Linked DNA regions of Caenorhabditis elegans. The protein of the gene in region 1 purifies or fractionates together with the protein of each later gene. This does not show direct contact. Each region holds a gene or a part of one and is shown on either strand. Other genes may lie near its edges. The genes, in order: famh-136 and F42A10.6.

The links.
Region 2: the proteins of famh-136 (region 1) and F42A10.6 fractionate together in Caenorhabditis elegans (co-fractionation; one large-scale study listed by BioGRID). This does not show direct contact.

Annotation. Positions count from the first base shown.
Region 1 is NC_003281.10:8,885,707-8,890,716, reverse strand, and holds famh-136 (FAM161 homolog famh-136), read right to left. Parts: upstream 2,967-5,010; 5' UTR 2,960-2,966; coding exon 2,835-2,959; intron 2,721-2,834; coding exon 2,519-2,720; exon of another isoform or gene 2,302-2,518; coding exon of another isoform or gene 2,024-2,301; intron 1,928-2,023; coding exon of another isoform or gene 1,778-1,927; intron 1,732-1,777; coding exon of another isoform or gene 1,674-1,731; exon of another isoform or gene 1,561-1,673; intron 870-1,560; coding exon 765-869; 3' UTR 574-764; downstream 1-573. Other genes in the region: lnkn-1 (Protein linkin), read right to left, coding at 110-229, 287-481; putative RING finger protein ZK637.14, read left to right, coding at 1,674-1,731, 1,778-1,927, 2,024-2,301. UniProt on the Caenorhabditis elegans protein: May play a role in locomotion and behavior.
Region 2 is NC_003281.10:6,175,348-6,178,746, forward strand, and holds F42A10.6 (MD-2-related lipid-recognition domain-containing protein), read right to left. Parts: upstream 1,515-3,399; coding exon 1,364-1,514; intron 1,317-1,363; coding exon 1,151-1,316; intron 1,106-1,150; coding exon 991-1,105; intron 946-990; coding exon 847-945; 3' UTR 810-846; downstream 1-809. Other genes in the region: abcf-3 (ABC transporter domain-containing protein), read left to right, coding at 1-364, 465-705; F42A10.7 (MD-2-related lipid-recognition domain-containing protein), read right to left, coding at 2,668-2,878, 2,978-3,330.

The DNA.
Region 1 (5,010 bases):
GACAAAATGTAGATTTTAGCTAAAATTTGGTTTTTCTTTCGAAATTTTTCGTTTTTCGGGGCATTTCAAGTTCAATGAAGCAAAATGACAATGTTTTCAATAAACTCACCAAAACATCAAGCCTAGAGTCTCCATTGAAATCGCCAACTGAACATTCAACAAAATCTGCATTCAGGCTGGGTTTACTGATGGCAAACGATGTTCCTGGTGTGAATTTGGAAGCTTCGAGCTGAAAATTTCAAAATTTTTATGTGAAATTTCAACAAAAGAAAAAATAAAAACTAACCACATCAAGAAGTTTAGTTTCTTGATAATTAATCGTCAATGTTCCATTCGCAAAAACCAGAATATCAGTATTCCGATCTGCATTGAAATCTCCAAATGCACATACTTTTCCAAGTAAATCGGGAGCTTTTTTCTCGAGTGATAGGCTTCCACTAACCAAATTGATGAGCCATATGATCGGTAATATTTTTTTCATAGTACCTGAACGTTGTTTTGTTTGAAGAGAATAAGTTCGGTGGAAAAAGTATGAAATACGGTCAAAACGTTTAAGGAGAGTTTAAATCAATTGGGATAGAGATTTTATGACTGAATGCATGAAAACTTATTAAAAAAGTATGAAAGAAAAATAATGATATAATAGTGAGCAACAATGAGGGAGCCTAATGAGTGGAGAATACGCCTAAATGGGATATTTTTTTGATAAATGGGAAATTAAGAGGGGATATGGCAATACTCGGTGGAAAATGTGTGGCTGGCTCTCAGGTATTTTTCGCGAATCTCTTCTTGATTGCCGGAATTAATTTGATGTGATCATCAGCACAAACAGAGACACACGAATCGAGCTTCTCGTTGAAACTGAGCTTCTGAAATGCGAGGATTTTCTTAATTTTTGATCAATTTTTTTTTAATTTTGTGAGAAATCAGAGGCGTTAGGATCACAGAAATGTGTCTTATAAATATTTTTGCCATGCCTTGCTAAAGGCGCACGGAATTTATTAAGATGGGGCTCAGCGCGTAAAGAAAATATATTTCACTTTTCTGTTTCTTCCACGCCAAAAAACAGAAAAACACATATTTTTAATAAAAAACTGGTTTACAACAATTTTTAACATGAAAATGTTTTAAAAAAAGGCAAAATTTGCTAAAATCGAGGTAATTGCAATGAAAAATGTAAGGAAAAGCAGCTGCAAAAAATATTAAAAACTACCATAAACTTTTTTCCGCGCCGAGACCCTTCTGAATAATACCGTGCGTCTTTAGCGATCGCTAAATTTCTACCAAATTGATAATTATCATTAATTAGAGACGACAGAAAGAATAGAAAAGAAAATGAATCATTTTAGATTTCATAATGTTACATTAAAAAAAAAACACCCCTCGATACAAATCTTATGAGGGTCTAACTATTAAAATAGCAAAAGTAATACAAAACTAAAAATCGATGAACAGCGTGGCACTTGATTGGTGATTCATAAACCCCCGAAATTTGCATAAATAGTCATCAAAACTCGTGATGAAAGAATGGAGAGTGCGAGACAGACACGCAAAAAATCCGCAAACACCGTTACGACGAATTGCACGTTTTTCGTTGCACTTGCGTAAGTACGTTTTCCTTTTGTCACCATATCTCTCGTCATTTCTTAAAATATTTTATCTGGCAATTAGATATGTCGGAAAGAGACGCTATTAGAGCTTTTTCGCATATGCTCGAAACCATCTTCGTCAGTAAGTTATTTTATGAGAAAGCATTCAAATTATATATTAAATTAAGGAATGCGAGCGGAAGGTACTGGTTCACAAACAGATGCGATGCAAAGATGGCTGGATTTGTATAATGTTGGAAGTTTGCCAATTGACAAAAAATCATATAAAGCGCTGAGACTGATGGATCGAGAGACTACAGATCAACAGAAAGAAGATGGTATGAGAAACTATTAAAATTGAGCAAAGCTTGTATTTGAAAAAAAAAACACTCAGAAAAAATGCTGACTATTTGCCTAAATAATCTATTTTTCAGCAACCTGTGCAATTTGTTTGGATAACTTGCAAAACAACGTCGATATTCCTGAAGATCATGTCATCAAAGAGGAATTAAAAATTGATCCAACAACGTTCGGAACCACAGTTATCGTCATGCCATGCAAACATCGCTTTCATTATTTTTGTCTCACTCTATGGCTTGAAGCTCAACAAACTTGCCCAACATGCCGTCAGAAGGTCAAAACTGATAAAGAAGTTGAGGAGGAGGAGAGACAGAGAAATCTTGAAGAGCTTCACGATTCAATGTATGGATGATTTATAATTTAAATCTTATTTCTATTAAATTCTTCTTCGACAAAACTAAATTAATTTTCAACCCAAACTAGCTTTTCACTGTATATACTTTTGTTTTAATTCCAAAAAAATGTTCCACCAAAAGCTGTGAGCTATGAGCCCCCTCGGGTGTTGATTTTTTAAATCCTAAATTAATTTATAAATTTTTTGATTTCTAAAATTTAATAAATCTTCACACCTGTGATTCTGAATACTTATTGACATCTGGACCAAACTGTTGAACAAGCTTATCATAGCAAGTCATTGCACAGCGTGAGAGCTGGTCTTGAAGCCCTCCGAGCTCTTTTTCAAGATAGCCTTGCGCCTTTTTCATGCCATCGTTGCAGCTTTCAACGCAGTTCTCGACAGCATCGCGTGTGGTTTTCTTGTTGTCACAGCACCTGAAATAATGCAAAAAATTTTCAATTGCGAAGTTAAATTAGACATTTTCAGGTGGTTTAGCGTAATACAAATTGCTTACTAAACATATTTAGTGTAATTTCGAAAATAATTACCGAGCTGAGCACTGAAACATGCTCTTCTGCATATCCCTCAAATAGGTCTTATCCAAATCGTCAATCATCTCATCGACAGCCAGCTTTACTTTCATTTGAGTAGCCTCCATCGTTGAGTTTGACATATTTACCCTAAAAGTATTATAAAATTAAATTATTTATTGTTAACGGACATGTGAAAATCAATTTTCGAAAGTAAACGATATGTCATTTATGAATGACGCAAGAATTAAAGGATAAAGGAAGATAGCTAAAGCTCAAAATTTATAATCCCAGATTATACTTCCTTTCGTCATGTTATATGCAATTTAATTATTCTATATATTGGAAGTCTAAACTAAAATAAAATATTTCGTTTCATTAAAGAAAGAAACCAACGAACAAAAAAAAAACGAAAAGCACAAAGAACGCGCAAAAAATAACCAAAAAACAAAAAGAAATCATATCAGTTGACAAGAATTGCGCAAGTCGAGTGCTGACGCACTTCTTGATTATGCGAAGCTGGCGCACTTCTCGATGAGCTTGAAAGTCAAAGGCGAGTATACTGTAGTTGATGAATCTGAAATTAAAATTGAGAGAAATCAATTAAAACGGTGGCAAATACAACGTTTACATGCAAAAATTGTGTGAAATGTCGAGATTTCAAAATGTCGTTCCGAAAATATTGCGAAAATATTGCAAATTTCAAGAAAATCCCAAAATCAAGAAAGTAATTGTATTATAAATAGTAAAGTGTTTGTAAAAATCAATACGTTATAATAAATAGAGATTAAAATATTTTATTTTTAAATTTTATTATAACGTTGCTTTGACACAAAAACCATTCATGAAATGCATTCACAAAACTGTTTCTGAAAACTAAAAAAACAAATAATTTGGTCAACTTGTTGTTATTTCAAACAAAATACTCAAATCTTCTGATCTTTTTTCTCCTGTTTTAATAAATATTCGTTTTTCTCCTGTTTTCTCACAACTTGGGAATGGAAATTACAGTACTCTTTTAAAGGCGCACACCATTTTACAGCTAAATTGCAATTAACAAAAGTTTGTCGTGTCGAGACCGTATTTTTGGTACAAAAATCGGGCCGCTGAGTTATACTAATTCTTTTGAATTGTCACACTTCCAAATTCAGAAGTGACATTCTGAAACCGGAGCTCCTTTTTTTCCCGAATATTGCTCCTCGGAGCATCCTTTCGATCCGATATTCCTTGTGTTTTTCTTTGTTTGTTTAAACCGCCTACTTTTCATTTTTGTCCCTCTCGCTCTCTCTTTCTCACACGTTCTGTCTCTCTTAACCTCCTCCATTTCCATTTCTCGGCTTTCTTCTACTGCTTCGAAGCCAATGATGCTCAGCTGAGCCAAATAGAGAGACAGTGCGCATTATGAATAGACGTAGAGTCATATATGGAGACGTCTTTCTCTCTCTGAATCTGGAGCAACTCTCCTGGTTTTTATTCTTTTCCGTTTGAAGCTTTGAGCTCTGAATTTGGTGTCACACATCCACGTCATTGGACAAATTATTGGGTCATTTTGTCTCCCGGCTTAACCACATCGATTTCATGTTTGTTTCGTAATCCCCACCTCCCTCCTGTTCCCCGCAAACAGCTTTACAAATTTTTTGAAAAATGTGATTTTAAATTTAAAAAAAACTATAAATTTTTTTTGTTTGTTGAAAAAAATTATTTGAATAAAAATTACATTTCCAATTATTTTTTAGCGAAATATATTATTGAGTATTCTATTGAATAACTGCAGCCATAAAAACATTTTGAAATTGGAATGTTTTGTTCAATTACCAATGTTTTTGACTTTGTCACGACCCGACCGGAAACGTTTAAACATACTATTAACATAATATTTGTTGAATGCATTTGTGAATATGGTTTTTAGAAAGTTGATTAGAAAGTTAGATTTTTTAAATTTTGAATTTCACTAAAAGTTTTTAATTGGCAGAATACTTATTTTACTTGAAAAATATCCTCCAACTTTGAATTTAGGTAAAAAATATTTATTAAAAATTGCAATATTGTTGAAGCAAAAATGTTCATATTTTGTTTATGTTTTAGAAAAATTCTCACCAATAATAGTGCTGGTACATTTTTCTGCGGAAATTTTTTTTTGATCTTACGATTAAGCTCAATAGATTTTGATCGAGATTTGCTTTTCATTTTCTTT
Region 2 (3,399 bases), 2.7 Mb from region 1:
TTTTCCGAAAGCTCAATCTCGGAACTCATGCCAACTCCCGGATTTGTATTGTCGGAGAAAACGGAGCCGGTAAAACTACACTGTTGAAACTTTTGCTCGATGATCTCCAACCATCCGTTGGACTTCGAAATGTGAATCGTCGTATTCGAATTGCCTACTTCACACAGCATCACGTTGATCAATTGGATATGGAAACATCAGCTATTGAGGTGTTGATGAAGAATCATCCTGGAAAGACTCAAGAAGATTATCGAGCAGCTTTGGGAAGATTTGGATTAGCTGGTGATATGGCTTTGCAATCTGTTGAGACACTTTCTGGAGGTCAAAAGTCTCGATTGGCATTTGCTAATTTAGCCTTGATGCAGTGAGTTTTGCTTGAAAATAGCAACATTTTCAAAAAATATTCATTTTTTCCTAGAAAAAAAAATTTATTCAAACTCCGTCTAATTCATAGTATTTTTCAGGCCAAACTACTTGATTCTTGACGAGCCTACTAATCACTTGGATGTCGAAACGGTTGAAGCTCTTGGAAAAGCGCTTAATGTTTTCAATGGAGGTGTCGTTTTAGTTTCTCACGACGAGCAACTCATCGAGCTTGTGTGCAAGGAACTTTGGGTTGTGAAGGATCGAATGGTGACAACTTTGGAGGGAGGACTCGAAGAATACAGAAAGCAAGTCTACAAGCAGCTTCAACTCACTGCCTAAATTTTTCCTGTTTTGTTTCGCATTCGGTTGTTTCCCATATTTCACCCAGTTTCCACGTTTTGTTACACTATTTAAGAATTCAATTTATAATTTTTGTTGAGAAAAAAGTTTATTGCTTTATTAAATTGTTCACTTCAAAATTTAAGTATGAGTGAGAGCTCTAGCCTGGAAAATAATGCAAAGGTCTTCCTTGCTCGGGTCATCATGAAGAAGATACTCGAGTTGGTAAGGCTTATCGTTCTGAAATTGGGGGTTTAACTTTCGAAGAATACACATCAAAATAACCTTGAGAAGATTGATGATAGCTGGAGTATCAGAGAAGTCGAGTTCCAAATTGATGACCTTGTTTTTCGGTTCAATTGGGCATGGTACTCCGTTGGTACAAGCATCGATGTTGTTCCTGGAAAAGGTTACTGTAGGTTACTGTAAGAAGCAAAAATCTTACAAAAGTCCAAAAGTTGGTACTGAAGACCATCCACAAGTAGCCATATTCCATGACCAGACCTTGATAGTTTGTTTAAGTCCAGGAGTAGTATAAGTTGAGGATGGATCATTGATGGATGTTGCAATGAGAAGTGGTTCAGTAAGACGGATTGGATATTCACTGTTACCTGGATTCAATTATACATTCGTAGAAACTATCAGAAAACTTGCGAACCACTCTTATCAGTTGGATTAACATTGGTCACCATAACTGGTCCATTTGAGCATTGCCACCAGTTGACCTTTGTCTCTGTAGTATTCGGCCATTGATCGCATGCCGACGAGAGAGCAAGTAGGGCGAAGAGACACAGACAACGAGCAAGCATCTGGAATTGAAGTAGAATTTTTCGTTTCGAAAGCTAGTGGATGTGATCTAAGTTGGAATAAAATAGTGAATCTGTAATTGGTTAACTGGGAAATTTGAGAAAATGGAAAACTAAATTGCAAAATGATCATCAAATTCGATAGGAAAAACTACGATAAGAGAAATATCAAAGCACATGGCAATTTGAAGAAACCACGCGTTTTAATAGTTTTTTGCATGTAATTGTGATTCTAGAATAAAAAAGAGGTCACAGAGAACCGGAAATATCCACAGGAAGTACTCATTTTCATTGAAAAAATTTCATATGTATATTGAGTATTCCTGAGAAATGCACCTTTCGAAGTCTCGCCACGATTGAAAATTTTGCTCACTCGTGCTATGCGCCTTTAAAACTTGGGTACCATACATTTTTATTTTTCATTACTTTGTTCAGCAACTTTAGCTTTATCAGCGTCTTAATATTACGTAGACGTCAGAAGATGAGAGTTTCCGTCATAATTTACGCAAATGGGTCTCGCCACGCGGAAAGCGGGTTACTGTAACACGTGTCAATATGAAGGCCGCTACTGCACCATGTTTTTCTAATACAATGAATAACTGATTCCAAGCTTTTTAAAATAAAATTATGATACAATGGAGGCCTAAGAAATTGACGCGTGGTAAAGTAACTCGTTGTACTCATAAGATATGAAGAAAATTTTCATTTTTGACGTCTATGCGATTTTTATATTCTTCTTCTATTTTGATCATTAAATCCGATGAATTGAAGGAAAGACAAAGTTTTAAAAAACCTGTGCAAGCACGTATTCTTCATACTTCCAACTTTAGGTACTTATTGAAATTTCTCAGTTTTCAAACTATAACTGAATCGGGAAATTATTAATAATTTCTGATTCCTTGTTTACTTGTTTGATTTTTGGTTCATTGCCAAAATGGCAAATATGCAACATTTTCCAGTGCGAATAGTTCTTTTTTATCAAAATGTTATCGCAACTTTAGTTCGATTTCGGAAATTTTTCCTTCAAATTGATAATGAACAAAAACCAACAAAAAGTCAAGATTATGTACATTTTATTGTTGTTAAAATATACGCCCGTGTTATAGTGCAAATATAATTAGAAATCTTAAAGCCAATCGCCAAATGGGAAAGCATTTTACTTAAGGAAGGCCCAAGCCTGGACCATCATGCATGAGGTGTCTCCGGATTGGTTGTCGTGAAGGATGTACTCGAGTTGATATGGCTGATTGTCCTTGAGTAAGGCGATGATTTGGTCGAACTTGGTGAAGTCAATGATGACGTCAAGTTCTTGGTTTCCTGGACGGACTGGGCATGGGACTCCGTTTGCGCAGGCGTCAAGGTCCTTCCTGGAAGATGAATCGTTATTTATTATTTAGAAGTCGAGAATAGCCTAAACAGTTCACCCATTCTAATCCATTAGAATTAACTTAAAGATATAAACTTACAAAAGACCGAGAGTTGGGATTGAGCTCCATGTGCATCCGTTCCATCCTCCATACTTCCAGATATTGACGGTGTTACGAAGATTTGGCGACACATATGTGCTCGTTGGGTTATTGATTTGAGTCTTGACAACAATTGGCTGACTCAAATGAATTGGGTACTCGTATTGTTTTCCGGTAGAGTCGTATGGAGTAGCATTCAAAAATTGAACTGGTCCAGATGAGCACTGCCACCAGTGCATCACTTTGTCGGTTCCATTTGGTGCAGCACAGTCTGCCAAGTTGTCGACAACTGGGAGAACAAAAGAAGTGGCAGCGATGCAAAGAACTGAGAGAATGACACACCTGAGAAGCATTGTGAGAGGCTGAAAGTTCAAGAATTCATTGAAAAAAATGACAGTTTTGAATGGTGAAATGGTGATAAG